Mytilus edulis: one gene and its partner. The protein of the gene in region 1 binds, or shares a complex with, the protein of each later gene. Links are inferred from orthologs where the notes say so. Each region holds a gene or a part of one and is shown on either strand. Other genes may lie near its edges.

Region 1 (16,967 bases):
TAATTTTATTTGTTATTATTTTACACAATATACTTTTCAGTATCTAAATAATTGTTTTGTACACTATTTCGTAATGTTTTCCACTGAAAACGTAGCATTGAGGTGTATTTTCCGGAATTTGCCGAGTATCACCGGAATGCCATGTGATAACGTTACGGAAAGGCATGTGATAACAATCGAAGCATGTGATAAACTTTTCATATCAGCCCGCTAAACACCAATTCGAAAAATATGGAATTTACGTTAATTTAATGCTATTATCATACAGTAAAAATCATATGTTATTTAGTCTAAGTATATGATAAACGGAAACAACACATGAGCAATGAAACATAATATATACGGAAACACTGACATGAACAATGAATTTAGGCCATGAATATTGAAAACTGATATAAAAAAGTGTAATATTAAAGTATTATTATACATCATGTTAAAATGCCATATTTTGATTGCCTAATACGAAGGTGTTAATTTACTCTATCACACGGCTGAGCGGGTGACAATTTTTTGGAATGTCACCCTCTCGGCTAGACCAATCAAAAATCGGCAGTTTAAACGACAATGATTTGAATCTACATCAAGTTATTTTATAGACAATGCTTAAAGTTCTAATTTACTATACAACGAAGCGTGGAACGACTCAAACTTATTTCTTTTACAATTGTTGGAAAAACGTATTTCACTTGTTAATATTTTTACTTTAAAACCTATAAACCATTGTGTGTTATGCTTATTGTTGATATTAACCGCATTCGTTCACCATCGATGGGTCACAGTTCAACTGGTGATGTACATTTCATCATGTTCATTGTGATGTATATTTCTCAGCCAGATATGAGGCCTTTTAAAAGGGGTATTTACCAAAAATTTAAATAAAATAAATAACAATAACAAAATAACAACAATTGAAAATATTTTTTTTCTTGATAGCAGAGCTTTTTTCCCGTTTCGGGCCTAATCCTTGTATCGTTTATATGTCAAGTCAATGCACTACTATTGTCTGTTTATTTCACTTCTGTTGATTTTTCAGATACCCGTTACGCTGTCAAGTACGTGACTACATAGAAAATACTTTATAATAAAACTCATCTGTTAAAGAAAATGATGATAGGACATTCATTATAATAAATCAAATATCACATAGCTGAGAGCGTGATAGAGCAGATCGGTATCCCTCGAAAAAACATGTTTCTATATTAGCCCTGGTATCATCCCGAGACTCCCATATCGGCCTCGAGGCTTTAGCCGAGGGCCGATATGGGTCGAGGGATGATACCAGGGCAAATATGGAAAAACATGTTATAATCTTTAAGCTATTTATCACATATTTAAGTGTATCCCTCGAAAATGTTCTATGATATATATCATTTTGTCAGACACTTTTCTTTTTTTGATTTGATTCTTATAATGTACCTAAAATCTGTATATTAAATAGATTTTAATATTAAAATTGTGCGTTTTACTCTTAACAGACGTATAACCAACCCGATTAACAGACCAACCGCCGATATAGCCGCATACTCAATATAGATTAACCGACCTATCTCTCGGTTAGCCGAGTGTCGGCCGTGCATATTTACCGAAACAAAAGACAGTAATTGTTTTATTCCATATTCCGAGGAAAGAACATGTATTTGATGACAAACATATGCCAAAACAAATTTTACATGAAACATTTTACCATAACGTTGCATGTAAAAGCGCGTGACGTTTAGCGCGGTGAATAACACTTTCTCAGGTGAATATGCTTTTTTATTCAAAATCCAATTCATATAGAGAAACCTACTAAAATAATACCAATATGGAATAATTATTTTTTAGGAATTACAAACTTACAGCCGAATATTTTTTTAAGTTCTGTTCAATTTAATAATTACATTATATGTATGTTTCATTATAATATTTTATTCTGATTGGCTAACTGCACATCACGTGTTATTCCGTAAGCAGTTGCATTGCTCAATACAACTTTTCACTCATGATAACACGTGCTCCAACAATAAAGTGCACAGGTGAATTAAATAATAAAATATATAAAATTCGTGTTTTCATGATCATAGCTAAACAATGTAATTATAAGTATTGAATGCTTCTTTTTGTAACTTTATAGGGTTGTAAAAGCGTTGATCGTGCGTACATTTTTAGAATGAAGCGCTTCCGCGTTTCATACAAAATGTACTTCGGTCAACGCTTTTACATCCCAATAAATTTACAAAAAGAAGCATTCAATTCTTAAATAAAATTCATAATTGAATAATTATATTTATCAACAGATTTGTCACACTGAATATTTATGAAAACATGTCATTCGTAGATAGATTAAAACAGTAAAATCTGTAAATTCATGAACCAATTTTGTAGGTTTTTTTTTAATATATGAAAATCACGTGAGGTACCCAAATTGCACCTATTTTGACAGGTTTTTTTTTCACATACGTTTATTTATAAACCAGACAAAAGGTCCCCATCATTCTGTTTAGTTTCAAGATGTATCATTATTCACTATATATGGTTTCACCAATTTAATTTTTAATCTATACTGAATCATAAAAAATGGTTTGAAAAGACCTCCAGACGGTCTAGCTATGATTCTGAAATAAGGAGTACCCAAATTGCATCCATGCTTTAAATTCGCAGCCTTAAAAATCGAATTACGGATAATTTGTTTTATTTCTTCCAATATTTAGACGGATATTAATCTATGCTTACTAATCATTTCTTAAGGAAGGGAGGCTTGTAACATATTTTGTTTGCTCATTTTGAAAATATGCATGCATGCATGATCTTTTGGTGGACGTCGCATGGCGGCGTTTCTGTACATTTTAACTTTTGTAGTTATACTTCACCCGTTGATTATGTATTTAGACATACTGTGAACGTTTTGTGCATACTAAAATATAAAATTATTTACTTATGTTGAAAGACGTGCATAATGTCAAATGATAAATTACAAATTGGTTCGTCTCTTAAGAAAACATGCATGTAAGGTTTCCGCTGCTACTTTTACTAAATATGTGTAATTTGGGTACTCGGCGCAACTTGAGTACTGAGAAATCCTATCAAGTTATAAATGTCCTCGATATTGAATTGCCAAATTGGTTAAACAAGGAAGTTAACTTTAACTACCCAAATATTACCAATGTATACTATACTAGATAATATTTATAAAGAGACGAATGTTACATTTTGAAAAATGTTTTTCAATATTTTGTTTTACCTTATACTAATACTTATTGACATAACAAGATTACAGTTAGAGCATATCATTAAGCAAATGAATCAAAATATTATATTCTATTATGCCCACTCCATATATCTCTCCATTCGTTTATTCATACTTTGACTTTGCTGAAAACAGATACATACATTATCTTATACATATTCTTCATATTTAAAAATATAAATAGAAGGTCAATCTCTTTCTTCCTCACAAATGTTTAATTTCCTCCTCTACCAATATACTAATATAAACTTCACAATCTCTGTCTTCCTCACAAATGTTTAATTTCATCTCTTTCTTCCTCACAAATGTTTAATTTCCTCCTCTACCAATATACTAATATAAACTTCACAATCTCTTTCTTCCTCACAAATGTTTAATTTCATCTCTTTCTTCCTCACAAATGTTTAATTTCCTCCTCTACCAATATACTAATATAAACTTCACAATCTCTGTCTTCCTCACAAATGTTTAATTTCATCTCTTTCTTCCTCACAAATGTTTAATTTCCTCCTCTACCAATATACTAATATAAACTTCACAATCTCTTTCTTCCTCACAAATGTTTAATTTCATCTCTTTCTTCCTCACAAATGTTTAATTTCCTCCTCTACCAATATACTAATATAAACTTCACAATCTCTGTCTTCCTCACAAATGTTTAATTTCATCTCTTTCTTCCTCACAAATGTTTAATTTCCTCCTCTACCAATATACTAATATAAACTTCACAATCTCTTTCTTCCTCACAAATGTTTAATTTCATCTCTTTCTTCCTCACAAATGTTTAATATCCTCATCTATCAATATACTAATATAAACTTCACAATCTCTTTCTTCCTCACAAATGTTTAATTTCTTCGTCTATCTATATAATAAAACATTTTAATTAGACATCTGCTCGTATATTAAAAAAAAACATTAAATACAAATTCTTTATATCTAATAAAAAAATGTTTTCTTGTCGCTAAATAGTCTTCTTCTTTCTTTCTTGTGTATTAGCTTCCTATCTAAGGAACACCCCGCAATGGGTAATCAGGAGTATTTACATTAGTGGGTTAATCAAAGATTTATTTTATATTTTTAAAAGTTAATTACAATAGGGTTAAAAAGTAAAAAAAAAACAAAAAAAGGTAAAAATAATCGACAAAATTAATAATGTAAAAAAGGGCCAGTAGACGTGCTCTGTACATATGGTGGAGAGGTTAACATGGTTAAGAGATAAAAATACAAATAAATTTGGGATGGAAAAATATTCACAGGATTAGAAAAATAAAATGTACATGTTTGGAGGCATAAAATCTAAAACCCAACTTGTCCATCATAAGTAAAAAAGTAAAAATTGCTTAGGTACAAAAGTTACTAAAGTACATTGTCTATACTAATCATTCCTAGCATTCACATACTTCCATTTGAATTTCACTTGTTTTCTAAGTTCTTAAGAAGCTGTAAGCGGCAGATATGTATTTTGTAACAGAAGTCTCTAGTCAGTGACTCGACATTCATCTTCTGGGTTTTACTGAGGTTTTGCATACTGTGGAAAACTGAGAAATCTAGCAAGAGTGCTACAATGTTTTGGTTAATGTTAAAAAGTTGTTCCCATCCTTTGCAGCCTATGATATTTGTGACCAGGATTTTGAGAGGAAGGAAATACTTCATACGAGTTTCCCTTAAAGCTGGACAGAATGTTAAGACATGCGTTAAATCTTCGTCCTCCCTCTGACACAGCAGGCATGTTGCATTTATCTTGTATTGACTAAATTTGTATTTGTCGGCCTGTACCAAGTATGTACCAGTGAGCATACGAGCTTTGATCATGCTTTTCCGTACATCTAACAAGCTCTGTGATGCAGATTCCCAGACTGGGTGGACAGTACCTATCTCTAAAATGGTTGTGTTGAGTGAACTCAATGATGATTTTGACTTTGCCTTTTCTTGTAGTTCATAGGTCCAGTATTTGTTAATTGTGGATCTCAGGATTTTTTTCCATACACCTTTTGAAGGAAGTTTTATACTGGAGTCAAGAATGTTTGGCAGGTTGTATTATTGTAGCAGTAAAATTGATTGATGAAAGAAGCTTTTAGGATTATCGGAATTGACGGATATTTGTCTTTTAAGAATTTCCTTTAATTTAGAGTTGTCACAGGACAGAATTGCATGTAAGAGTGTCAGTTTCTTTCTATGGATTTCTCCTTCTACCGGTAGGACACCCAGTAGTAAATAAATGGCAGGAATAGCCGTTCTTTTAGAGAAAGATTGAATTGATCTGAGAGATTCTTTGTGAAACTTTTCCAGTAGTTCCATTTGAGTTTTGGTAAGAGTTAGGACTTCCAAGCCATACAAGAGTCTAGGTAATACATAGCTTTTGTATATTGTAACGGAGATTTTGGGATTTAAGCCGTTGGTTCCATGCAGACCTGAGTTCATTAGAGCATACTTGGTTCTTCTTGCAGATTTGATGCGATCCTCTATGTTGATATCACATTCCTTTCTAGTTGTTCGTTTTATACCCAGATGTACCGTTTCTTCAGAAGCAGAAATTTCCTTTCCCGACATGTTCCAGGAGTAAGGCTCGGGATTTTTTGATGATTTATAGTGGATAATTTTGGATTTAGTCGGGTGAATAGTATACTGATGTTGGTTTGCATATCTCTGTAGAATATTAAGCATCACCTGAAGTTCTTCTGGATTTGAGCTCAGTAGTGCTACATCATCAGCACATGTTGGTGCGCCACAGTATATTGTGCCTAATATAAAGCCTAATGAGTTTTCTTCCAGTTCTTTAAGAAGATCTTCCACAAATATTTTATATAAGTGGGTTGATAGAATACCCCCTTGTCTAACTCCTTGTTGGATGTTAAAGCTGTCACTGAATTCTCCCTGCCATTTAACTTTGGAGGTGAGACCGCTGTAGAAGTCTTTAATTAGTAACCATATATCAGGGTGTGTTCCACGGTCGAGAAGCTTGTCAAGAAGAATGGTATGTTGGACGACATCAAAAGCCGATTGGACGTCGACAGTTGCTAGATATAAGGATAATGCACTGCTTATTTCACATTTACACTCAGAGATTATTAGACTAGCGAAGAGTGGCCACAGACCTGCAGTAAATCCAAATTGTAAGTCAGTACCAGAGTTAATAAAGAGTTTGCCAAGAATGCAGAATTCGTGTAGTTTGGAGAGTACTGGAGTCACAGTGATGCCACGGTAACTGTTAACCAGAGATGGATTTTTTTCCTTTTTTAAGACTGGCGTCAAGATTCCTGATTTGAAGTCAACTGGGACTTTTCTTTCCTGCAAGATTTTATTGAAAATTTTTGTGATCACTGGTACCACAGTGTGTTGAGCGTATTTAAGATGTTCTGCACATATTCCGTGTTCGTCCGCTGATTTACCTGTGTTTAAGAATTCAATTGCTTGTTTTACTTCCTTTTCTGTGTATGGGTCCATTGATGGCAGATTTTGACTGAAAGTTTCCTCAACTATTTTCTGTCTTATTTGGCAGAGTTCCAGATAAGCATTGTCATATTCGTTCTCTTTTGGAAGGCTGAGATCTTCGTAGTAATTTGCGAAGGCACGGCTTTGATTTTGGGAAGAGAAGTCAAATTTACCGTCAATTTCCAAGCCGGAAGTTTCCGTTTTAGACTTTGATTTATTTCTATTGATGAGTTTGAAGAAGAGTTCAGATGAAGGATTGTCCATAATTTGCTCATATAGCTTTCTCCTGTCAGTTGCCTGTTCTTGTCTCTGTTGACTGCGGAGTTTCTTCTTTTCACTTTTGAGATCTTGCTTGCTTTGATGATTTTCTGGTTTACCCAGTGCTTTCCATTTAGAATATAATTGTTTGCAGGTTTTGAGATGTTTCCTGACTTTCGGTGAGGCTTTCCATTTTGGACCTTTTAGCTTGGTTATTTTTGATGGGACTGCCAGATGCGAAGCTTTTAACAGAATAGATGTCAGAGTTTTAATGTTCTCTGAGGTTGTTTTGTCTTCCCTTATGTCAGATAGTTTTTCTGAGATAGTATCCCGGTATAGTTGTTCATCAATCTCATTCCATTTCAGTCTTTGAACAGTTTTTTTATTTTGATTAGAGAATTTTTCAAGCAGAGGGACAGCAATATTGGTGATCATTGAGACAGGTACATGAGAGGAGACATTAGATGATGTGTTTTCCCAGATCTCATGATTACAATAAATATCCTTGTTGTTGGTCAGTATGTAGTCAATTTGCGAAGAAGATTGTCCTGAATGGTGGAAGAATGTTTTTTGTTCACCATAATTTCCGACAGTAGATAGGTTCATTTCCAAAACAAATTGTTTCAAAAGCTGGTCATGTTTGTTATTCCTACTAGTAGCGAGAGTACCATTTAGATCTCCACAGACAACTACTTGGTGAGTTGATTGATATTTCTCTATAATTGAGTGAATTATATCCAGACAGACTCCATATTCATACTGTGAATCGGTTTCCCTTGTTGGCATGTAAGTGTTAATTAAGCAGATATTCCAATTTGAGGTAAATAAAATAGCGACAATTCTTTCGTTTCCATCAGGGAGTTTTTTAATCTGATTGTTCCAAGTTTTTGGCCAGAGGATGGAAACTCCTGCTTGACCTCTAGGAGTTTGAATCCATCTAGTGGTTCGTTAGAGTCATGACATCTGGTATGGTTTTCCCATTCAGGTAAGAGCTTATTAAGGAAGTTCGACTGACACTCCCAGAGGAAGTGTTCTTGAAGACATATGATATGGGAGTTGTCGAGAATAGAGTGAAGAAAGGATGTGTTTGATTTTATCCCTTCAATATTACATGTAGTTAGTCTGATGTTCTCGGTTCTACTAGAGATTCCAGATTTTCCTTTTGTTCTGGAGGTTTCTCCTGGAGGCAGTTGTTTCGAAAAGGGGAATTTGACTTGATGATCCCTGTTCTATTTGGGGGTTGAATATTGTCTGTGGCAGAGAATTGGTAAGTTGTTTGATGGCTAGCCACTTGAGCTTTTTGTGAGTGTTCTATTGGCTGATGATGAGTTTCAGCTGTGGTAATGACTTGGTTGCTATGAGAATGATCCAAAAGGATGTCAGCTTGTTCTTTGTGCATTTCTGGATCTAAGTAGTTGACTATTTCTGAGTCAATTGGAGGTGAAGAAAAGCTAGTAGTGATAGTCTCATTTTGTGGCTTTGACATTCTTCCTATGTTTGTGTTTGAGGAAGGTTGAGAGGGTAGCTGTTTCTTTTGTTGGTATCTCCTGTTTGTCCAGCCTCTTTGACCAGTTTCCATTGATACCGACTGTGGTGTGATTTTAGCCATTCTTGCTTGAAGATTCGAGTTAGGAGCAGGTCTCGTTGAGTTCTCATTGAAAACCTTGTTATTGAGGTTGTATCGACCTGAGCTTTGTTGAAGATGAGGAGCCGGATGTTGAAAACCTAGATCAGTTCTAGATGCATTATTGTGGTATATATGTGGCTGAGGAATAAAAGGTGTTGGTATGTGAGGTGCCCTGTTCCCGTGAAAGTCCGGTACTTGCTGGGATGAGTAGGCATAAGTTGGTGGCAACAAGTTTTGTTGAGGGATACCTGGGTATCCATGGCCAGTTGCTACATGAGCGTTGGTTTGAAATTGAGGTTGAGGTTGATGTAGCATAGAGCCAGGATGGTTGGAGAACTGAGTTTGGCTGTAAGCTGGATGCAAGTTCCACTGAGGTATGAAAGGTACTGGTTGCTGAGGAGGATAATGCGGTTGGAGCAGATTGTGCTGACAAGGAGGATGATAGTGGCTCATAGGTCTGTTCTGAAGAGATAGCTGAGTAATTAGAGCAGTGTTGATGCTCATATTTTGAGCTGTTTGATTCTCCAAAATGCGCAGTCTGTTTTCCATTAGCTCTTGCTTGTAATAGGTATCTAAGTGCTGATGTGACAATGGAGAATTTGTATCGTTCCTGTGCCTTGGGTTGATATGAGGATTAGCATCAATCCTATAACTGTGGTGGGAGTTTTGACGTGAAGGATCAATTTCAGCCTGATCATTTTGGTGTTTAATGTGATCTTTAAATGTCTGAAGAACAGTGCGGAGTTGATTTACTTCGTTTTCTAAATCAAGAATTCTTGTTCTCTGTGTTATCAGTGTTTGGTCATGCGCTAAGACAGAAGACTTAACCTTTAATTTTCGTTGATTGGTTAATGACCTAGAAGTAGGTGAGTTGTTTCTCTTTGCTGATTTGCCCCTATCTGTAATGGGGTTTCTAGTTGAGGAAGTTGAATCGCTAGAAGTACCAGTCAGGACAGACTTTACCATGGTATCATCTTTTTCCAAGTTGTTTGCTGTCTGATTGTGGCAGCTAGTGATACAGGGATTTACGTAAGTGTCTGTGGGAAATTCCAGGGATGATTTCTGAGCTGGCGAGTCCATACATATGTCAGTAGTATGATCCTGTGTTTCGTGAGAGCTTATAGCAGGTTCAGAACTGGAGGTATTAATTGGTAACTCTTGATTGTTATCATCAGTTTGTGGAATGAAGGTGGCTCCTACATAGAGCAGATCGTCGTTACATTGGTCACAGTGATATTCTAGTTGATGAAAGGAGTTGATGTGGTCCTCTGTTAGGCCAACACATTTGTAGTGGAACCAGTTATTGCAAGAATCACAAGCGATCCCTTCTGTCTGGACATTTTGTTCACAGTTTGGGCATATTTCACCATCCTCCCTTTCAGCTAGTTGTAGTCCGCTGGTATCTTCTGTTGTTTCTAATGCTTCCATCTGGTTTCTATTTAGGTCCTTCTGTATGATGTTGGATAAAGAGTCTTTAATGATACTTAATTGAGAGTGTATGGTTTTGTTGCAAATGTTCAATTCTGTATAATGATTCTGAATCTCTGCACAGATTTTGTCAAAAATGTCGTTGATGAAGATATCAACCCTGCCGCCATTAACGGTCATCTTGTTTGTAGTATGATAAAGATTCATGGTAAATTTGAGAAGATTGCCTCAGTGGTTGATTGTTTGCTTTGCGATTGAAAATTTTGTAGCAGGAGTCAATGTTCAGGTTAGAAAGTTCAACGCCGTGCTGTTCTACTACTACAAAACTAAGGTTGAACTCGGGAGATTTAATTAATTGCAGAATTTTTTCTTTAATAAGCTCATAGGCCCCAGTGCTGAATTCCATAACGAAATTTTTTCCAGCTTTCATTTCATAATGTAAATGTTCCTGTTTACATTTTAAAGTTTTTGTTTCTAAGGCCTTTGGTCTGTTTAACGTGTAGTTTCTATTGTTGCCATGTATAGTTAAAATTTCTTTAGAGAGTAAGTTTCCTGTAGACTGAGATTTCTTAGACGTTCTGGTTTCCATCTTTCGCAACATGCTATCGTGACTCTCTTGTCGCTTCTTATCGCTTTTTGACGCTTCTTGTCTCTAATTAGTGAGACCCTATTTGTACGTTGTTGTCTTATATTTTTGTACATGATTTTTGGTGTAACTTTCTATATCTCTTTCGGAATATACTTAGTTTTTATGAAGACAGCTGAGAACTCCCGATGGAATGGCGCGGTGGAAAAACAATTTTGAACCTGATATTAGAAATTTAATCACACTTTTTACAGGATTTAGTGTATGTTTTAAAGTAGATGATTTAACCACATAAGACGGTGTACAGAGCATTAATAAGATCATAAGTACTGTAGGCCACAACGACCTGTTTCTAAGATAATCAAACATAATTTTTCATAACACGTTTTTGACAGTGTCTTGCTAACAATTCCATATAATATTTATACTCTATGCTGAATACGATAATGAAACAATGTTTTGGCCACTTTATTTCGGCCACTTAACTATCTCAAAACAACAACATATTACTTGAATAAATATATACTATGTTTTGTCAGAATTTAATTGTGAACCCATTTCTAGTCACTTCGGCACCAAGTCTGAGATTACTCTGACGTCCAATGACTGTTTTGCCAGACAAGCTGGGGCTGTGGGACGTCAGAGCTCGTCCCATATCAAAAAGTGGATATTTGCCCACCCAAAATTAGATGCGCTGCTTTGTCGCTTCTGGTGCCAACTGGCGGCCTTGGAATTATATAAATCGGGCATCAATCTGTTCATTTTTCATTTATGTAAGTTTCACCTACCTGCCACCCTTTATTTTCTCATATTTAGACAGATTTCACAGTGACCCATCGATTCAGACATTTTTCTTTTATCAGTCAGGGGACTTACATTTTCTAAATCACTGATTCAAGTAACATTATTTCCATAAGGTTGGAAGTTAGAGTTGTCTTTCTTTAATAATCACCTATTTAAGTACTACAAATTAATCACTAAAAGAAGTGATTTAATATTAGTGTAGCTTTAAATATAGAATACTAATGATCCAGGGACTAATTATGTTTCTAAACTTATCAGAACCAACATCTGTGTTGTCTAGGATGACCAGGTCATTCAGGTGATGATGACCTTGTACTGAATCTAAGATAATGACATAAAAATCACTTGTTTAAGTATCAGACCTCAATTTCCTTCCCAAAAATCACTTCTTTAAGTATCATTCTTTTAATAACCCCCACTAATTTCAACACCCCCGAACAGTGAAATTTTTATCGCGAACAGTAGAATTTTATTACATAATCTGAAAGATGAAACCTTGAACTTTACAGGAAAAATACTCCCACTGCTGTGAAAAATCTGTAAAGAAAGTATCAGTTCATTATGTAAAGCCATTATTATAGCATTTTTTCAACTAAAATAGAATTTTCAGGTAACTGATAGCATCAAAGGCATAAACCTTGCTATTTAAAAGAAGCAAAAAGTTCATATTTTTTAATTTTACTAATTAAAAGATGTCATTTAAACCTATGTGTTTAAAATTTTGAAAAAACTACAAAATCCCTATTTGTGACAAAACCTCGAATTTGCTACTCAAATAAGTGATTTAAAAATCACTTATTTCAGTAAGTCCCCTGACTGTTTATTTTCAAAAGGACTTCAAGTTATGAGGGATTTCGCGACCTCGGGACTCAAATATGCAAATGATTATACTTTTATCACCTCTTTTATCAGGTTGGGGATAACCCATCAAATGGGGAACTATTACCCAAATTAGTAACAATCCCTCATTTGAGTAGTCCAAGATTACTCTGACGTCCATCGGCTGATTTGCCAGACAAGCTGGGGCTGTGGGACGTCAGAGCTCGTCCCATATCAAAAAGTGGATATTTGCCCACCCAAAATAGATGCGCTGCTTCGTCGCTTCTGGTGACGATTGAGGGCCTTGGAATTATATAAATCGGGCATCAATCTGTTCATTTTTCATTTATCTCTTCATTTATGTAAGTTTCACCTACTTGTCAACCTTTATTTTTCCATATTTTAACAGTTTTCACAGAGACCCATCGATTTCTGCATTTTGACTTTCATTTTCAAAGATTATCACGTGACCACGAGAAAACAAGTGATAATTTATGCAAATGACCATATTTTAACACCTCATTCATTTACAATGCAAGTAATCTAAATGTCCGAGAGCTTCCGATTGTTATTGTGGTTGGCACCAGAAGCGACAAAGCAGCGCATCTATTTTGGGTGGGCAAATATCCACTTTTTGGTATGGGACGAGCTCTGACGTCCCACGGCCCAAGCTTGTCTGGCAAAACAGCCATTGGACGTCAGAGTAATCTCGGACTATTGGGCACCTATCAGTTACATGTTGACTGTTGTCTCGCTTGTATGAATAATTTCCTCTTATCATGCTTATGTACACCATTGCTCACAGTACTTAGAAAATTTGTTTAGGTGCAGGATCAGGTTGCAGGACTTGCTAGTTATTTAAAGCGCTTTAATGTAGAAGCAAAGATTTAATTATTGGCTCAACTCCAGAATAAATTATGAGTTTGGTGGCATATCTTTTTGTATACTGTTCTTGATCATTATTTCTGGTTAACTAGCACAGTTAAAAATTTACTTTTTTTCTGGAGATGTCCCTAAACATATCCCAATACATACATGTATAACATGTACATGATGTATAAGGTGGGTCTCATTGGATTGCCGCTTTTCTATAAGCATGACACAAGAAAGTCAAATTAATGTGCCATGAAAACAGGAAATGAAGTCTAGCGGGACACAGGAAATTACAAAAACTGAGAATTGCTTGCGTACACAGTGTTAGCAGGATAGGGAATCTGACGAAACTGTAAGTGGGATCCGGGATCAGAACCCCCAAATGAGACCCCCTATAACATGTACATTGTGTATAAGGAGCTATCATATTGATACGAGATACATGTAAACATGAACTTCATAAAACTGTTTATTTGTTTGCACTATTTCAGATAACTGTTTATATTGTAAATGTTGCTACATATGTATTCTTTCATTTACAAAATCCCAATTTAAAAACTAAAATAGAAATATTGTAGTATTATGTTATAAATATTATCATGATTATAAATTGATCTGCTATCTTTTTTTCAGGAGGAAGAAGATAATTTTAAGATCTGTTTTCAGTTTGCTGATTCTAATATTAAATATCACAGATTTCTTAGTGTTGACAGCCACAAAGTCACTCAATCATTAAAAGGGTAATTATATATACAGTATTAAAACTAAGTTTTATTGCATGAATATTGGGGAATATTGTCCCGAGTAGAATTTTATATTGCACGTGCTTGCGAGTGCAATATATGTTCTACGAGGGACAATATTCCCCAATATTCATGCAATAACCCTTTTATTGTATAGCAATATAATATTTAAAAGTAAAAATTGGTTTAAACTAAGATTTTGTCGTTGATGACGTCATGAATTTTGAAGATTTATTGCACTAGTGCAATATTAGAATTTATTGCACACTAACTTTTGGTTACGTTCTGTGGGAAATATTATATTGCTATACAATAATAAGTTTTATTGTCATGAGACAGACCTTGAATATGTCACATAAAGATTAATTATATATATTCATAAGCGACATTAAAATTCTAGAAATGCTTTAATGAGTACTAAATAACTTTGTGACACCACCTCCTCTAAGAGATTATATATACATTTATTATTTGTCAATATTTTCTTTTGATAATGTAGGGGAGATATATATATATATATACTTTAGCGAATAATCAAACAGTGCAAATTTATGGAACTGCTAAGGTTAAGACTTCTGTGCCTCAAGGAAAGCACTGGATCCATGTATATATTTTAGTGCAAACATCGCATCCTTTAATTTTAGGAACACATTATTTATATTCCAAGAATATCGTTCTTGACTTAAGTGATTGTCGCATAAAATCTAAACATTTCAAGGTTTTAACTCAAAGTCCCGCTTCTATACCTCCGAATTCAGAAGTCCTTTTTTGGGGACACGTCAATGGAAAAGTGCAATATGGAATGCAATGGCTCAATATAACATCCATCTTGTCAAGCACAGAGTATCAAAATTTGTTTAGTGTCTTAAGCATTATTGTCCATCTTAAAGTATAACCACAAACAAACTGGGATCTACATCCAGAAAACTCTTTCAACATAGCGTCTAATATTCAACGGATATAAAATATCATACATACTCTTTGTACATTAATATTGTTACAGTTAGTCGACTGGTTTTTTTTCAGTGTTATAGACAAGTGTACTATTCATTCTGAACAAAGAAAAGCGAACACACTTAAAACATTAACAGATGAATTTTTAGAAACTCCAGTGTTTGAAGGCAAAAAAGAAGGAAAGGTATATTGTTAATGTAGTTTAAAATATCATAAAAGATTTTTTTTAATTTAAGAAGGGAATCCAGGGTCCAGAAACATGAGAAATGCACAAGATGATTTTAACTCTGCTTTGATTTTCCAGAGTTGTAACCTCAATTATGAAACAGGAATGACAGTATATATATTTGTTAACGTAACATGGCTGTATGAGACCTGTGAATGTGAAAAGGGTCATAAAAGGGTATAGGAAATAAAATAGAAAACCAATATTCATTTAACAATGATCGAAAAAATAATGTTTTCGCATTCCTTTTTTTCCTTTGCACCAAAAAAAAACAACAATGAATACATAATTTGTATTAACTATTTTTATGACAAGCAGTGAACATTGTAAATATAAAATGAATTGCATGTCTATCTAGTAATACTGTGAAATATTTGACAATTTTCAGACAGATACCCACTATGGCTTACTGAGTTTACTGCTACATCTTGCTGAATCGCCTACACATTGTAGTTATGATGGGGATGGCTTAGTTCTACAAACAGAAGGTATGTCCAGTAAAGACCTGCAAAATTTCCCGATTCACAGGGATGACCATCTATGAAAATAGTATATTTTAATATAAAATGGGGTGAAAATAATTTATAAATGGCATTTAAAAGATAAAAAATATACACTTATTCCAAACTTTTAATTTAGGGTTAAAACACTTATGACATGTAAAAGAGGTACTGTAGGTCCTCTTGTACTTGACATCCTGCATGTATGTTTTGAAAGGTAGGCAGCTTGCATGCCTTATTTATAAATTTTTCCAGATGCATTGTTACATGAATTACGTAGTATTATCAAAATGAACAAATTTGTTTTTTCAAGATAGTTCATCAGTTATTAAATTATGCGAAATACTTATATTGTTTGTTGGTTATAATAATCAATTAAATAGCTGGTTATATTTATATGGAAAAAAACAACAGAATGCAAGTTTTTTTTAAGGTTTATCATTGTTTATACAGCATGATACACCAATCAAGTTGGTTTTTTTTATTAATTAGTTACACCAGTTGACCCAAGGTCAATCGGCGTAGATGACATCATCCAACAATCAGTTGGTCAAGAATTTGAAAGTTGTCTATTTGATTTTTTCAAATTTTATTGTTACACTATCGTTTTTTTCCTGGATCGGATTAGTAATTCTATGCATTTTTTTCACTTGATTATACATACAGTGTATATATCATGTAATATTATTTAGGACCAATTTTAAAAACAAAATTGTTTTATATTTTAGCATTATTATAAAATCTATTTGTTTTGTAATTAGAACCAGAGGATGATTTTGATTGGACAGCATTTCTACTGGATGGTGAATACAGACCATTGCAGGTGTATGATGACTTAGAGGTATGTTAAAGGCCTAAACAATTGGCTGTTTCAGAGTCTAAAGCCATCATGGGTAATTTCATTGTTCGTACCCCAAAATGAAAATAACGTCACGTCATTGGTCAAATTTCCATTGTTTATGACATTTTTAACCAATCAGGACGTTTTGGTGTACACTTTTGAAATTATTACCCATGATGCATTAGATTCTGAAACGGCAAATTTAACAATATAATTGTGATCATGATAATTGTTGGGTATTTTTTTTTCTTTTTCAAAATGTAAAAACAAACTGGAGCTTCTTGAATTTGGCTTTCAGTCTTCAAGTGAACATGCTATTATAAGTTATATGGTTCGCTACTGACCCCATACAGATCCATAGAGGGTTAGTAAAATCCATAGGGGGTGAAGCCGGAGGCTGAGTCCCCTATGAATTTTATTCACCCTCTATGGATCCATAGGGGGTCAGTAGTTAACCGTATAACGAATTTATCAGACGCTGGACTTTTTCTGCTGCGTTTTGTTGAAAAATAAACAATGAAACACAACAACATTAATAGATGACGTCGCCATTTACGCGTCATGAACCCCATATGAAACTAACTAACCCCATACTGTTTCATAGGGGGTCACCATGTGACAGCATTTAACCAATCACAACGTGATAA
Region 2 (17,326 bases), on another chromosome or scaffold:
TAAAAAAAATATATACAATGTACATCAGACTTTTTTTTATCAACTTTGCATGTTTATCAATTTGTCACTTCTTCACCTGATATATGCAAAAATCACCTGAGCTGCAGAGTATACTGAAAGGCTGGGTGCAATGTTTATCAGACAACATGGCCTGGGTCAAATCAGGTCGACTACAGAGTCAACCTGAACAGTCTAGAAAGACAACTCAGAGTCTCAGACAAAGAATTGCAAGAGGATTTGAACTAAACAAATTATTATAAATTATTCGATGTTATATTGTACATGACAATATCATTTGCATGTTGGTGAATAAATCAGCAAAACATAAATGACATAATAAAAACAATTTGTTTAATGTGAATTCAAATTTTTAATGATTGATATTAATTTACAAATGATTTATGATATAAAATTTAATTCAAGCTAAAAAAAAAAAGTTAAGAGTTGAATTTGTTTAATTCATTTGATTTTTTTTTTGATTTTTTTTTTCAGTGTTATATTATTTTATTTGAATTTTACATTTGTTAAGTCTTAAAGTTGTGTTCTTGGATAATCTATATGAATGTCTCTTCATAGAGGATTCAAGTTTTTCATCTTTTCTTTACTCAAAATGGGTGTCAAAACTTCATCAGAGATGACTTACACTTATCATTGAATTCATGTCAACGGTCTGAATCATGAAGGTTTTCCTGCAAGCATCACATAATAAACTTAACATTACTAATTTTCTATGATAATTAGGTCATTGTCAAAAGAACAAGACCAGAGATACATGTACACCTTACAATCATTCAATAGTCCATACACCAAATACAGTTGACCTGTTGCTTATAGTATCTAATATACTGACAAAATTACTGAAATGTATCATTGACCAATGAACCATGAAATTAAGGTCAAGGACAATGGACATATGACAGACCAAAACTTCATAAAATAAGGTACATGGATTTTAACATACAAGATATGAAGCATAGATAAACATGTAGGTCTTCTATCCCTTCTATAAAAAAAATAATTAAAACAAGTTGTCATTGATCATAGACGGAAAATTTATTTTGATTTGGCATGCATATCATATAACATGCAAACATAATGATGATCTTTTTACCAACTATAAATGGAATGCAGATTGTCAGATAAAAATATACTTTAACACTTCTTTGACAACAACACTTAATAAAAGTAAACTGCATCTTCTAATGTCATGACCTGATGACCCGATCTAATCAGTGAAAAATGTTGACTATAAAAGATAGTTTACTTTAGTGTTGTTCAAATATTATTGAATCTAAAAATGTACATGTATACAAAATAAATGAAACAACCATCATTTACATGTCATGTATGTAAAACATGCAGCAATATTGCTTCTTAGAGCTCTCTTTTTGCTGCATGGACATGTGTGTCCACAACAGCTGTGCCTGAATGACACATATATGTCCATTTAAAATTTATGCAAGCTTCATGTAATCATTGCTTTATCTTTGACTTAAAAAAAATACCAACATGACCAAAGATAGTACAGTGTAATATTTTCTTTAATGTGTTTCCAATGTAACGACATTCAGGTGTCATATTTTGGGGTACATGACAACTTGTACTTTCAGCAACTTGTAATTTTTGAAATACTAAGGCTTTTCTACCTCAGGCATAGATTACCTTAGCTGGATTTGGCAAAACTTTTAGGAATTTTGGTCCTCAATGCTCTTCAACTTCGTACTTTATTTGGCCTTTTTTTACTTTTTTTGGATTCGAGCGTCACTGATGAGTCTTTTGAAGACGAAACGCGAGTCTGTCGTATACATGTATACAAAATTTAGTCCTGGTATCTATGATGAGTTTATTTGTACCCTTATTTAACCAACTCATACCCATGATTTATTTGATATTATTTACATCTATATACATACATGAAGTTCACAATGTATTGTAACTTTCTTTCATAAACATTGCATCATACTATATAGCAACATATGAATAAAAAACTTTCATTGCTAATTTGATGCGATCATAATTCTTTCAAATATATCAAAACAAATCAAATGCTAATCTTTAATCATTAGTCCTTATATTTTTTTATTATTTTAAATTGTTTAAACAGCAATTTATTTGATATGCATATTAAATAATTATGAGCACACAATATACTAATCTGTGGTCATTAGTGGATGGTAGACCTACAATAAGAGGATGGATTTGATTAAAGAAGAAAAAAACATAAAGAAGTATATGAAAACCAAAAATTGGTATTAATGCTGCACTTTGAACATCAAAATCTGTTGAGTTATACTTGAACAATCACCATCCTCACTGAAAAGAAAATGCATGGCTTAAACATTGTAAAAACCAAGCTTTGGGAAAAAATGTATAAACTACGATGAAATGTGTGATCTTCTTCATTTGCAATCATAGTTCGTTTGTATGCAAGAAGACGGTTATGTCTCATCAAGATGTTCTACAATGTGACACATTTGACAACTGGCAGCATCATCTTTGTGAAACAGGTATGTTGATTTATGTTAGTTTTATTTTTTGTAGAAATTAAGCCCACAGTTTAAACTTTAAACATGCTTTTATCACTGTAATTTTGCTGTTAATTTGCAATTAAACATGTACACTAATCTCACACAAGGACCGTTTCCTAAATGTATTATTGATGGTGAGATGTTTATAAATTATGATAGTATTGTATTGTAAAATAAATTTTGAAAGCGGATCACGAGTTAAACCAGGTAATATCGATGTAGAGACCAGAAAATCTTTGTATTGTGCTACCTGTAAATGTTAAAATTGAAAACGAGCCACCCTTGTCCTCCAATTTTATATGTGCTAGCTGTTGGTTTAAACTATTATAGGATTTAACACCTTTTAAAAGTAATTTATTGGTGTATAAACTCGACCAATTCAAGTTTATGCACCAATAAATTCCTTTAAAAAATGTTTAATCCTTACAATTCTTTAAAATTGGAGATATGTTTTTCCACACTTTTTACCTCTACCACACGTAAATTGTATATTTATGTCATTGAATAGGCCTGGTGCATGAATATATTTGCTGGTAAATGCAAAAATATGTCCTCAATGAAATTTCCTATCTGATAAAAAGTAAACTGCACAGACTCTTATTATCATTCAAACTAATGATTTTGTGTATTATTTCATTTAATGATATTAACGTGCAGTGAAAATAAATTTGTCAACATCTGTGTACCATCTTGTTTACATTGGTTAAGAAAAGAAGTTTGGTCAACTTTGTCTATCGAAAAATAATCAATGTCAAGATTAACTACCGGAAGTCCTCTCGACTAATCATATCAACCTGAGACTACTATAACACATATTAAAGTAGTCTCAGTATCAACGTATTCCCTAATATGCAGATCATATAAGAATTATTAACACAGATAAGTTCATAAAAATCATTTTAAATTTAGTGTGTACATCGAACATGGCGGCCATTGTGATTTCCGTGGTCACCATATTGGATGTACACACTGAATTTAAAGTTTTTATGAACTTATCTGTCTTCTGTAAATCATTGATGAGTTATAAAATACATCGATAATATACTATTATTTAATAATCAATGTTTAAAAGTCACCAATATGTGTTAATATGGGGACGAAGTCCCCAATAACAGTAGAAAATTCAATAAAAAAAAAATTCTGGAAAATTTCCCGAATTTTTCATTGTACTAATGAACTCAAAATCGTTCAAATTTTTTTTGTCGTGTTTTGAAATCCGGGACCTGCGCAGAAATGTACAATGTACTTCCTTTTTCCGGTCTCGTTTGTATGAAACTTTGAGTAAAATATATATTTATCAGTCTAGTATAAAATAGGAAGGAACGCGCAATACCAATTTCATTTTTAATAATTCCTTGATATGAAAAAACGTTACCTGATGATAGCGTTTCTTTGTTTACATTGCATATGACGTCATAATTTAAATAACGTCACAACTAAAATCCCTAACAACAGAACCAAAATCGGAAACGTTACGGTATTTACGTTTCTTTTTTTTTAACAAATTATTAGTTACAAAAAAATAATTCATACAGACTTCGTCCCCATTTACAGGTAATGCCTGCCTCATATTATTAAAATTTCAAGTGTTATTCGGTCATTACAAGTGTTATTCAGTCATTCGAGGTACCGTTGTTATTGAATGAATTACTCTATTTGGCAGCGCACATCAGCAGAATGTTACGAGTGCCAGGACTTTTCGGGTAACTATGCACATATGAACGATAACAACTTGTCTGTTTGTAATTTTCTGTGAACACGAAAATGACCGAAAAGTGTCAGTGATTTAATCCAGTGCTCTAGCTAGAAATCAAAAGGGGCAGGGTGCCAGTGGAGGGCAGGGCACTTTTTATGATAAGAAAAGGCACTGCTAATTTTTTTGTCTACGTTTCTGTGTGTATCACGAGTTAACCAATCTCTTTTTTTTTACTGTATTTGTTGTTTTTTTTAAATAAAAATGCATTTTAACTATAGTCTTTATTTCATTGTTTGTGTAGTTATGAATAATATAGTACATCTTCATCAACATATTATGTTTTTATAGTTTTTCACTCTACCCACTGTCAAAGAATATTTTTTTTTATCTGTATAAAAATTTTAGCTTTTTATACAAAAGATCTTTTATGTTTTTGTGTATTACTAATTTATCAATGTTTAGAACATGGATTGCTAAAAGTATAATTATCAAACAGAAATTGCAATATATTTTTTTTAATATGTTCAAAGACAGTTAATATCCTTAAGGTAACATTATTATGTTATTATATATTCAATTGGTTCTTTATTCCTTTTTTTGATACTAGATAATATTTTTAGAGCACAAATTTGTAATAAGCTAAAACAGGGGAAGTAACTCCAAAATTAATTTCCAACAGGTTTGCGTCAATTAAAAACTGTGCTTGTCGCTAACAAGTTGAGATGGAATGCATTTCTGTGAAGGCATAGTTTTATTTTGATGACTTAAATTCAATTCTAAAGTCATGAAAGTCTTCATTTATACACTCTTCCATTGTGACTTGGAAATCGAAAATGCAGACCCAAGCTAAACACACTCCTGACACATTCATCAAATGTATGACAAAAAGATACATTGTCCTAATTAAATTACCTAGATATTAACACCTTTGAAGTCTTTATCATTGTAATTGATTGTAATGACATGATTAACCTGGGGGCAATCACACAGGTGTCATATATGTAATTAACTTGGAGATCAGAAATCGATGAAACAAAAGGCAATTTTACCAAAACGGCACAAGAGAATTTTGGAAAAAGACGTCAGGGCAGAAGGGCGCGGATGAAGGCACCCAGGGCGCGGCTAGAGGGCATCCAGGGCTCGGCGCCCTTCTATTTTGGGCTAGCGAGACCACTGTAATCTATCACTTGCGAGGATCAACTGCCATTCCCCATATAGTAAACTGATTAACGAGTATTCTTATTGGCGGTAATTACGCAGATGAAACATTTGAAATTGTGTTGTAGTTATTCCTTTCAATATTTCTTCCATGGGGATTGGCCGTATCGACTTTGACTATTGAATTTTGGGCCTAGCGACTTGGTTTGTGGTCGGAACGACCGGAAACTGTAACATTGTCATGCATCACAGGCGCTTAGGATTTGGCTTATTTCTCTTTTTGTTTGCACTGAATATTCAATTTTCTGTTTTTAAACAGCATACCCTACATAGTTTGTCTAAGTACCTTCTTTTCAGGTTGAAAAACAGTAAACAATATTTTTTTCTGCCACCCAAAACATTACAACTTCCGGTTTCATTCAAAGGAAGTGTTCACGGTATCCAATCAGAAAACTCTTAACAAATCAGGTTTTAAAGTTTGTTGCCAACAACAACTTGTACGGACTGCAACACATTTTCAAATATTATTAAGGATCAACACCTCCTACCATAGCATATATACGTACCAGTGTCAACATGGGGGTAAGAGAAAATTTTAAAACGAAATCATCGAAAGAAATCAAATGATTAGATAATAATTTTATTAGTTTAATCATGTTTGAACAGGACCAGGCAAATGCAGGAGCTCTGAAAGCAAATATAGTTTGCTTGATTTGCTTTGGTGTGTACTGTATTTAAATATAGACAGGTGCTATCTGATAAACTCTTGATCATCTTGTCGCCCCACGTAAAATGACTCGTCACATGTAAAATGACTCTTCATGTGCTCACATCCCACATCGAATTCTAGTCAAATCGGCACCTGGTTAAATCAGCATCTGGTCAAATTGGCACCTAGTCAATTTGGCACCTGGTTAAATCGGCACCTGATATTGTAATTTTGGCACCCGTATTAGATATGTTTAATATATGTTTTTTTTCAGTATTTTAAGCAAAAAGATGTTTTAACCGATTTAACCAGGTGTCGATTTGACTTTTTCTATGGGTGCCGATTTGACTTGTACACCCACAACAATCATGACTGTGACTTTCAATAAAAATACACAAACATCGTAGAGAGACAAGAAACTAGAAATAGCAGATCATACAAATTGATTGACTACAAAACAGACATCCGAAAGAACCCTTTTTTTCCCAAATCAATAGTCCAGTGGAACCATCTGGACAAGGATATTGAATGCCCAAAGTCAGTTGAGGGTTTCAGGCCTGCCCTCCTAGAGTTGGACTAACCAACCAGCTCTCCTTCCAATGCGCATATATCCGTGATCGGATCCTGCACTGTGTAACATACATATACAGACAGAACAATCCAATTTTCCAGCCGAAAGTTGGGAGCGGAAAGTTGGTTGCATTCACCAGTTAAATCTAAAATCAGACCCTTCAAATTCTGAACATAATTCAGAACCAAATGACATTTTGGTAACAAGACAATATGAAATCTAGTCACGTTAACTTAGCACCTGGTATAATCAAAACCTGGATATAGTCAATTTAGCATCCCATAATTTATTAACCTTTATATCATGTATATTATATTGTTTATTTAGGAAGAAGACCGTTATTGTTTCATTGCTGAATGGTATGACCCACATGCAGCCTTCATACGCAGATATCAGTTTATGTATTATGTCAAAGATCAAACAGCAGAAATGGTAATACCATAAAAGGTCCATTACATTAAATGTTTTACCAGTTTGATAGCTGGAAATAATAAAATTTAAAATGAAAAGTTGTTTCTTAAATTCAATGATTTTTTTTAAGATTACAAAAAAGAATATGTTAAATTCAATTCATCATTTCTAGTGTTTAAAATCTTAATTTTCACAAGATAGAAATAAAATTCAAAGTAGACCAGCTGGTAGTTAGAGGGTAATATCAATTATGCCCATTAGCTATTACATTCTTATAAATTATTCATTGGGGACATCAACATTTATAATTCAACACAAATCTTTAGTGTTTATCCTGTAAAAAAATTCTCACACTTACAAATGTATAATATGATAAATTTAAATGTTACACCTAATAACTTGAATAATACATTTGATATGTTATGACAAAGTTTTATATCCATTTGCAATACATATATATATATATGATGTTATATCTTTCAGTTTGACATTAAAAATCACAGAGTATTTCTGAAGAAGACAAAAGTTAGTGACTGTTTACGGCTAGAAGATTTATATATTGGTAGTACAGTAAACATCTTGTCTAGACAGCTGAAATTTGTAGATTATGGAGATGATTACACTAGGACCAGATTTTCTCATAAAAAAGAAAGGTTTGTAGAAATAAAATTAGTATATAAAGCAGTTACTTATACTATATTTAACAGGAATACAGTTATTAATAGTCAAATTGTCATTAATAATCATAGTTTTCTTTGCATATTTCAATACTACTTTTCATATTCAAATTTTTAACTAATGTGAATTTCAGGATATACATGAAATAAAAAAAAATAAGATCTGTGCTGTATTGGATAATGAAGGATTGTGCGACATTACAATTTTTCAAACAACAAAATCCCAACATTGAAGTTTTGTTGTGCTGATTTTGAAATAAAATAAAGATCTGTATACATGCAGTTTACTTTCATGAGAGTTTGTGTTACTTTCTATTTGTAGAACTTTGGGTATCATAAAACCCGATTCCACAGCCAAAATGGGTCAAATATTAGATGTGATATATCAAAAAGGATTTATGATTACACAGTTAAAGATGTGTCAGCTGAATAGAAATGAAGCTTTCCAATTTTATCAAGAGCATCAGGGAAAACCATTTTTAGAGTGAGTACTAAAATTATCTGTGTGATTACCATTGTTGCAAATTAAGGTTACTTGAATATATAAAACTGGAAGTGAATCCTAAATCGTATACTGATTTTTTTACTGTTACAAATCTTTAATGATCACTATTTAAATTTAATTTGCACCTGAAAAATGTACTACCATAGATGAACTGTTATACCCCAGTAATACTTTTATTTCTCCATGAAAGAATTGATCTAGAACTTAAATTTACTTTTGTTTGGTAATGCTAATAATGCTAAAATTTAATCAATTGATGTAAATTAGATTTTTCATGAAAAATAAAGCATAAATAGAATTTGTTTTCAGAAGCAATTTAATAAACAAATGTTAAGAAAATATTGTACAAAGAACTCAATGTACCGAAGATGCTGAAATCAGCAAAGAAACCATGAAACAGACACGTATATGTTAAAAGAACACAACTGTTAAAGAAAATAAAATTTGAATAACAATTTTGTTAAACAATGAAACTTTTATCCACAAATAAAATGCAAGAGATCAAAGAAAGAGGAGTAAACAACTATAGGTTACCTTTTGGCCATCAACAATGATCATAGTGTTAAAGCTATTACAGGCCCTGGCAGGAAAAATGTGAAACAGTCTGAAAGAAAAAAAATTTAATAAAAATACATACTGGCAAACAGCAACCATTTAAGACAACCACTAAAATAACATGCTCCTGGCTGAAATACAATAGTTATATGACTTATTAAAGGTAAATAACTTTTCTCTCCAACACAGCAATTTATTAAATTTTATAACTCGAGGACCAGTGATAGCTTTTGAAATGATGGGACCTGGAGTAATCTCTGCCTGGAGAGAGTTACTTGGTCCAACAGACTCAGCTGAAGCAAGAAAAGTGGCACCCCAGTCAATACGGGCAAGATTTGGAAAAGGTTTGTGCTCAATTATTTTAAATAAAGGGATTGTTAGTTTTTATTACAGTAAAACAGCAATCTTAAACACAATTTTTCTGGATTATGAGTTTAGAACATTTACTATTGTTATATTTTGGTTGTCAATTGTCAATATACAAAAAACTATATTTTGATCACATTTTTGTTAAAGAAATGTAACAGAAAGGTTACATTAGTAATTTGTACATTAAGAAATTAATATGATGTTTTTATAAATGCTTATAAAATCACATTTTCTTTACCAATTTTAAGTTTCTCATTTCAGTTTGTAAAGTGTCAATCTACTATCAAACAAACACAATACAGTTTCAGGAATTACATAATAAATTGTTCCTTTTGAAACCTTTGCAGAAATGTATTTAAATTAAAGGTGATGTTGGGTATATATTTGTACTTTGATATGAGACAGCATTCACAGCAAACCAACAACACACTACCAACAGACACATGAAGTCCTTATAACTATATTTTTCATGTCCACATGATCTAACTTGATATATAAAGTGTTGGTAATTTTCAGACAACACAGAAAATGCCTGCCATGGTTCAGACAGTACAACATCAGCTGCTAGAGAGGTGGAGTTTTTCTTCCCCAGCACTGGACCTGGACGACAGAACACTGCTAAATATAGTGAATGTACATGTTGTGTCATCAAACCACATGCAGTGAAAGCAGGTATGGTTTTGAAATAATCTTATGTTTGTATTAATCATTTAATACTTGTCCTTTTCAATATCAATCAAAAATTCTTTCTGATGCATTTGATGTAAGACTGATATAAGCAATGGTATATTTTTATAATACCGCCAAAAAATTGATTGTAATTAAGTTTGAAGATTGTGTCCATTTTTGCCCTAACTGTTCAGGGTTGGACGTACATCTGCTGTCGTATCCAGCTGTGCTAGGCGAAGCCATTTATTATCATTGTAATACTAGCTTTTTGCCAACTGGTTATTAAGTAATGTATGCGTGTTAATATTAATAATATAGGAATCTGGTTACACATCAATGAGACAGTGCCACCAAACACACTGTAGCTAGAAAATTATTTCATAACAAAACTCAGATCAACACTATGAGGTTCAACTATATAAGTGAATATTGAATACTTTTAATAGCTGATTGATAGGAAAATGATTTTGTTTCTTTTTTAACTTTTTACTTTGTAGATGCTTGCAAATAACACTATCTTCAGTAGTAAAAGATTATGACATGAAAATAAATGAAATCTATTCAATGAAATATTGTAGGTCTTTCTGGACAAATTATCAGTGCTATCATGGAGGCAGGTTTTGAAATATCGGTGTTAGAAATATTCCACATGGAGAAGGCAAATGCTGAAGAATTTTATGAGGTGTATAAAGGAGTAGTACAGGAATATGGTTCTATGGTATCAGAATTAACGTCAGGTCCATGCATTGCTATGGAGATCAGGGCACAGGAAGCACCAACAAAATTCAGAGAAATGGTTGGACCAGCAGATCCAGTAAGTTGTGAAGTTTTAAACATGATAAATGTAAAATTAAGGATACAAGTAAAAGAATATGTGCATTTTATGTCTACAAGGCAGCACTAATCAAGATCAAAATAGGAATCTAGAGGCCAACATATAATTCCCAACTATGGATAAAAAAACTTAAAAAACAAAATTTCTGTCACCAATAAACATATTTCTGTTTTTTCTTTTTCAGGAAATAGCACGCCATTTAAGACCTAGAACTCTACGAGCCTTGTTTGGTGTAGACAAAGTACAAAATGCTGTCCACTGCACAGACTTACCTGAGGATGGATTGTTAGAGGTAAGAATTAATGCTGAAAAGATGTATGTTTGTTTATAACATTGATGTTGGGGTGAGGTCAACACACAATAGTATCTGTGGTTCTAATAATGTTTTAATAGGTATACATGGACAACATGCAAACTTGCACTATATAAATCACATTTGACAGGTTGATTTATTGTAAACAGGACATTTAATTCCATTATACTATATACATGTAGCTAGATTATCAGAAAAGAAAAGTAATGATTTTAATTTTTTTTAAATAAAAAACATTTAAAATTGTCAATTTCTAATGTCAAAAGGGGATGGAATGATAAACATACATACTGTATCCACATGCAAATCTAAATCCATAGTAAAGTTACAGTCATTTACTAAGCTTAAAAGACACACATCAGGAAAGTACAAGAAGCCTATTATTATTTATTTCATACACAACATTCATCAGAAATGGAGTACAAAGGATTTAACTTTTTTATTTCATTTAAAAAAAGATTCTGGAAGATAAAGCCAGAAGACTGGCAAATGATGAAACTGAAATATTAATATTACATTTGTTTTCAGGTTGAATATTTCTTCAAGATTTTGGATCGCTGAAGCACCTAGAGACATTTTATTGAATCAGATCATTAAACTCTATAGACAGCTGTGATATCATGTATTGTAGAAGGGAATGAACCACTTCAGCATTTTATTGAAGACTTAATGCATTGACATCAATCTTTTCAAAATGTCCAACTGTAAATATCTAAATCTTTCTATCAATTTTTACCATAAAATGAATTATATATATATATATACTATATTCTCTTTTTCTTATCTTCTTGGCCTCTTGCTATGAAAAGGTGATGGGTATAATGAAACTTACACAAAAAACTTTTCTAGCATGAAATGTTTATTTTCATGGTTTGGTCTATAAGCAATAGGTAAATTTTATTCAGTATATGTCTGACTATTGTGGTTTTATATAATATAGATATAAGAAGATGTAGTATGAGTGCCAATGAGACAACTCTCCATCCATGTCACAATTTGTAAATTTTAAACAATTATAATTCAAAGTACAGTCTTAAAAATGGAGCATTGGCTCACACCGAACAGCAAGATCTAAAGGGCCCCAACAATGACTAGTGTTAAACCATTCAAACAGAACAATGAAAATAAAATGAGAAATGAGAAACACTTATGAACCACATCGACAAATGACAACCACTAAACTTCAGGTTACTAACCTCACATTCTTAAATCTTTAATGTTTACAGCTTTTACATTAACGCTAGCAAGACAAATCTTTGTTTGGCTTGCTTGCTTTGTGTGTATCAATGTTTGCTCAAGCATGGCAATTAAGATAGGTGGGGCTTCAGCTTGTATACATCATACTTAAATTTTATTGGACGTTACGTTTGAGGTTTAGGACACTTAATTTTAAAACATCACATGACAAATATTCTCACATGTTTCCTCACCTGTAAAAATACAATAATTGGTCAATGAAAGAAAAATGTAAATTTATATTGGTTTTTTTTTTTATAACATATCAATCTATAAGTTCAGTTGTTTCCGTGTCTGCCCTTTCATTTATGTAACTGAAGAAAAAATTCCAATAAATGGGTAACAATTGTATCGAAAAGAGAAAATCGAGTGCACCTTTTTTTATGTTAGGGTGTGTTTGAGATGAATATTTTGTCTTGAAAACGTGCAAAGGAAGAGTATTTAATACATCATCTCGCTTCAAATTCTATCATTTTTATATAGCAAAGCTACAGGTTGACTTTATAACATAAAAAAATCACAATACTAAAAGATGAAATGTAGGGGTCTAGTGAAATACCTATCCAATGAATCACAAAATCAGAGTAGGTGTGTTCGAATAGCTATTTTACTAAAAGTATTTGACGACAATCTTTAAGTTGGATGATGAAAATGCATATCTTCGAAAAATTTTTGGTTTCCATTTCTACGATTGTGAAAATGAACTGCCGTAATGGGGAGATAATTTTGACGAAATAGAATCCTGACTGTATTGTATATTTATTTACAGGTAAGGAAACATGTGAGAATATTTGTCATATGATGTTTTAAAATGTAGTGTCCTTAACCTCAAACATAACGTCCAATAAAATTTAAGTATGATGTATACAAGCTGAAACCCCGCCTATCTTAATTGCCATGCTTGAGCAAACATTGATAACAACAAAGCAAGCAAGCCAAACAAAGATTTATCTTGCTAGCATTAATGTAAAAGCTGTAAGTTATGAGATACTTCAAGTATCATACTTGTATTAAAACTATATCTTTAGGATTATCAAGGTAAAATAAAATTTGAAAAAAGTAATACAGGCCAGACTTTCAGCGTTTACACTCATGAGACTGATAAACAAATTAAATGGTCTGAGTTAGCATTTAGTGTTTGTTCTAACTTCAATGCAGCTATCAAATCTAAGGTACTTAACAATTGTGATAATGAATTTTTACTTTGTCCATACTTTCCTCAAATGATTGATTGCATGCATGTTGTTGCTCTAAGGCCATGTTCAGCAGGCTTTGCTGTATCATAGTGACCACTTTTTATTAGTTGAGGAATTTAGTGTGTCCACAAAGAACAACCTCCCTTCAATAAAAAAAAAACCTGGCAATCAAGTTCATGGTTCAAATCAAATGCATCTTGCCACAAGCAGGGTCTACCTTAATTAAATCAATTGTAGATGACAAATTGCTTTATTACAACTATCACATAAGATTAACATGATCCAAGAAAATGAGGTCAAGGTCAAATAAACCAATTTGGAAGTTAATTTATAACTGACAGTCATTCCATACACCAAATATGCTTCAAACATAGCTGACATATTGCCCATAGTTTCTAAGAAACAAATTTAACCAGGAAATCATATTGATCAATGAAACATGAAAATGAGGTCAAGGTCAGATGGACCCTACTAGACAGCCATGTACACCTTACGATCATTATATGCTGTACATATAGTTGACATATTGTATAATATGTAAGTCTGAGAAACTAGTTTAACCAGGAAAACCTAAGATTGACCAATGAACCATAAAAATAAATTTAAGATTAGAAGACAATTGATAGACAGACATGTACACCTTAGGCCCAAAACAATTATACATGTGTTTCCGTTTACCCTGCCTACCCTAATTTTTAGTGCCTATCCTAACACTTTTTGTGCCATTTTAGAATAAGCAATGTTAAAGTTGGACTGATTCCCTAGAAGTAACCAGCTATAAACTATGTTTGTAAAATAAAACTATATTGCCTACATACCTACCCTATTTTTAACACATTTATTATTATTTTGGCCTTACAATTATTCCATACCCCAAATATAGTCGACATACCAGTATTGCTAAGAGTATTAAAAAAACAATAAAACTTAAGATTGAGCAATGGACTATAAAACTAAGGTCACAGTCAAATAAAACATGCCAGGCAGATGTGCATTGTAAAATTCTTTCATACACCAAATATAGTTGACCAATTGCATACAGTATTTGAAAAAAACAGACCAAAAACACAAAAACTGAACTGTAAACACTGAACCATGAAAATGAGGTCAAGGTTGGACGACACCTGCTATTTGGACATGTGTACCTTACAATCATTCTATACACCAAATATAGACCTATTGCTTATCATATGAGTTATGGGAATTGACCATGAAACTTAACCTTGTTCATTCATCCATGAAATGAGGTTGAGGTCAAGTGAAAACTGTGACAGGCATAAGGACCTTGCAAGTTATGAACATACAAAATAGTTATCCTATTACTCATATAAGAGAGAAATTAAGAATACTAAAATCTTTACTTTTTTTCAAGTAAGTCAGTGAACCATGAAAATGAGTGACATGGACAATGGACATACCACAGCACAAATTTCACAACATAAGGCATCTTTATAACTAGAGGCTCTAAAGAGCCTGTGTCGCTCACCTTGGTCTATGTGCATATCAAACACAAAGGACACAGATGGATTCATGACAAAATTGTGTTTTGATGATAGGGATGTGTTTGTAGATCTTACTTTACTGAACATTCTTGCTGCTTACAATTATCTCTATCTATGATGAGCTTGGCAGTGGTAAATATTTTGTATAAATTTACAAAATTTATGAAAATTGTTAAAAATTTACTATAAAGGACAATAACTCCTTAAGGGGTAAATTGACCACTTTGGTCAAGTTGACTTATTTGTAGGTCTTACTTTGCTGTACACTATTGCTATTAACAGTTCTATCTATAATAATATTCAAGATAATAACCAAAAGCTGCAAAATGTTCTTAAAATTACCAGTTCAGGGGCAGCAGCCCAACAAGTTGCCCAATTAGTCTGAAAATTTCAGGACAGATAGATCTTGACCTAATAAACAATTTTTATTATTTTATTATTTTCTCTAAATGCTTTGGTTTTAGAGATATGAGCCAACCAGGTGCTCCGCAGGGCGCAGCTTTATACGACCCCAGTGGTTACCCCCTGAACAGATGGGGCAAATTTGGTCACAATATTCAAGCTTGATTCTGTCTGAAATTGGATTGTGATCAAATTTTTGATATAATATAGGTTTTTGTCACAAAATTAATGTGGTCAAAGATCTTACAAATCTATTGCACTATACTGTGCAATTGAAGATTTCTTCTCGAAACTTTTCAAATTTGAAATTTGAAAATTTTTGAAAAAAGGAAGCCCTTCAAAAAATGGTAAACAAAAAATCCCCCCCCCCCAACGTTTTGATACCCCCTTGGAGCAATAACCCTTAAAATCAATCCCATGCTTTCCATTGCAGTATTGAACCTTGTAGTACAATTTCAGAGAGATCCATACACTGAAACACAAGTTATTGTCATGATTGTTTGGAAACTAGAAACATGCTTCTTTTAGGCCCTTTTTGGCCCCTTATCCCTACATATTTTGGGCAATTAACCCAAAACTTAATCCCAGCCTCCCCTTTGTTATATGGTACATTGTGGTACAATTTCAGAGAGATCCATACAATTACACATAAGTTATTGTCTTGAAACTAGAACCAGATGCTCCGCAGGGCGTAGCTTTATACGACCGCAGAGGTTGAACCCTGAATGGTTGGGGCAAGTATGGACACAACATTCAAGCTGGATTCAGCTCTAAATTTGGATTGTGATTAAATAGTTGACACAGCATAGGTTTCTGACACAGAATGAATGTGTTCTAATAAACTTAAAATTTTTGTTTTCTCTTAGAGCAATTCACTATGCTGTTGAATATTAATCCTCTCAAAAAAATGTTTGAAGAAATTTTCTTTTTTATTTATGAAATTTCAAATGAGAAAAATTGAACCCAATTTTTTTAATCACGTCCCCCTTTCCCTTATTCCAAAACTAATCTCAATTAAAATTTCTAATGGAGTTTGCAACAATAACTACTCATTTAAATACATCATAAAATATTAAGATGTAAAAAAACTGCTTGTTATCACTGAATGGTAAAGATTATTTTAATTTATCAGTTGGTAGTAAAAAGTGAATATACATTGTATATTGTATATAACAAAGATTTAAGTTGATTCTGGACAAAGAAAGATAACTCCAATTAAAAAAAATCTTACTATTGCACAATATTTTGCAATTAGATATTTCTTGCTTACTATTCTGGACAAAGAAAGATAACTCTAATTAAAAAAAAATTTGCTATTTCACAATATTGTGCAATTAGATATTTCTTGCCATTGCTCAATACTGTGCAATTGAAAAGACTTGCTATTGCACAATACTTAATATAATAATTTTAGATCCTGATTTGGACCAACTTGAAAACTGGGTCCATAATAAAAAATCTAAGTACATTTTTGGATTTAGCATATCAAAGAACCCCAAGATTTCAATTTTTGTTAAAATCAGACTAAGTTTAATTTTGGGCCCTTTGGACTTTAGTGTAGACCAATTTGAAAACAGGACCAAAAATGAAGAATCTACATACACAGTTAGATTTGGTATATCAAAGAACCCCATTTATTCAATTTTTGATGAAATCAAACAAAGTTTAATTTTGGACCCCGATTTGGACCAACTTGAAAACTGGGCCAATAATCAAGAATCTAAGTACATTTTTAGATTCAGCATATCAAAGAACCTAACTGATTCATTTTTTGTCAAAATCAAACTAAGTTTAATTTTGGACCCTTTGGACCTTAATGTAGACCAATTTGAAAACGGGACCAAAAGTTAAGAATCTACATACACAGTCATGACAGTTAGATTCGGCACATCAAAGAACCCCAATTATTCAATTTTGATGAAATCAAACAAAGTTTAATTTTGGACCCTTTGGGCCCCTTATTCTGTTGGGACCAAAACTCCCAAAATCAATAC

The links.
Region 2: gamma-tubulin complex component 5-like (region 1) and nucleoside diphosphate kinase homolog 7-like share a complex: the UniProt entries of both Homo sapiens proteins name them as parts of the gamma-tubulin ring complex. The link is inferred for Mytilus edulis from reciprocal best matches to the Homo sapiens genes TUBGCP5 and NME7.

Annotation. Positions count from the first base shown.
Region 1 is NC_092355.1:38,661,497-38,678,463, forward strand, and holds the start of gamma-tubulin complex component 5-like, read left to right. Parts: upstream 1-10,709; 5' UTR 10,710-10,753; coding exon 10,754-10,822; intron 10,823-13,689; coding exon 13,690-13,796; intron 13,797-14,825; coding exon 14,826-14,937; intron 14,938-15,367; coding exon 15,368-15,467; intron 15,468-16,240; coding exon 16,241-16,320; intron 16,321-16,967. UniProt on the Homo sapiens protein: Component of the gamma-tubulin ring complex (gTuRC) which mediates microtubule nucleation.
Region 2 is NC_092346.1:81,915,144-81,932,469, forward strand, and holds nucleoside diphosphate kinase homolog 7-like, read left to right. Parts: upstream 1-5,840; 5' UTR 5,841-5,958; coding exon 5,959-5,964; intron 5,965-6,989; coding exon 6,990-7,094; intron 7,095-7,556; coding exon 7,557-7,726; intron 7,727-8,072; coding exon 8,073-8,234; intron 8,235-8,999; coding exon 9,000-9,154; intron 9,155-9,695; coding exon 9,696-9,851; intron 9,852-10,426; coding exon 10,427-10,662; intron 10,663-10,867; coding exon 10,868-10,975; intron 10,976-11,524; coding exon 11,525-11,557; 3' UTR 11,558-11,756; downstream 11,757-17,326. UniProt on the Homo sapiens protein: Possesses an intrinsic kinase activity. Displays 3'-5' exonuclease activity with a preference for single-stranded DNA. Does not seem to have nucleoside diphosphate kinase activity.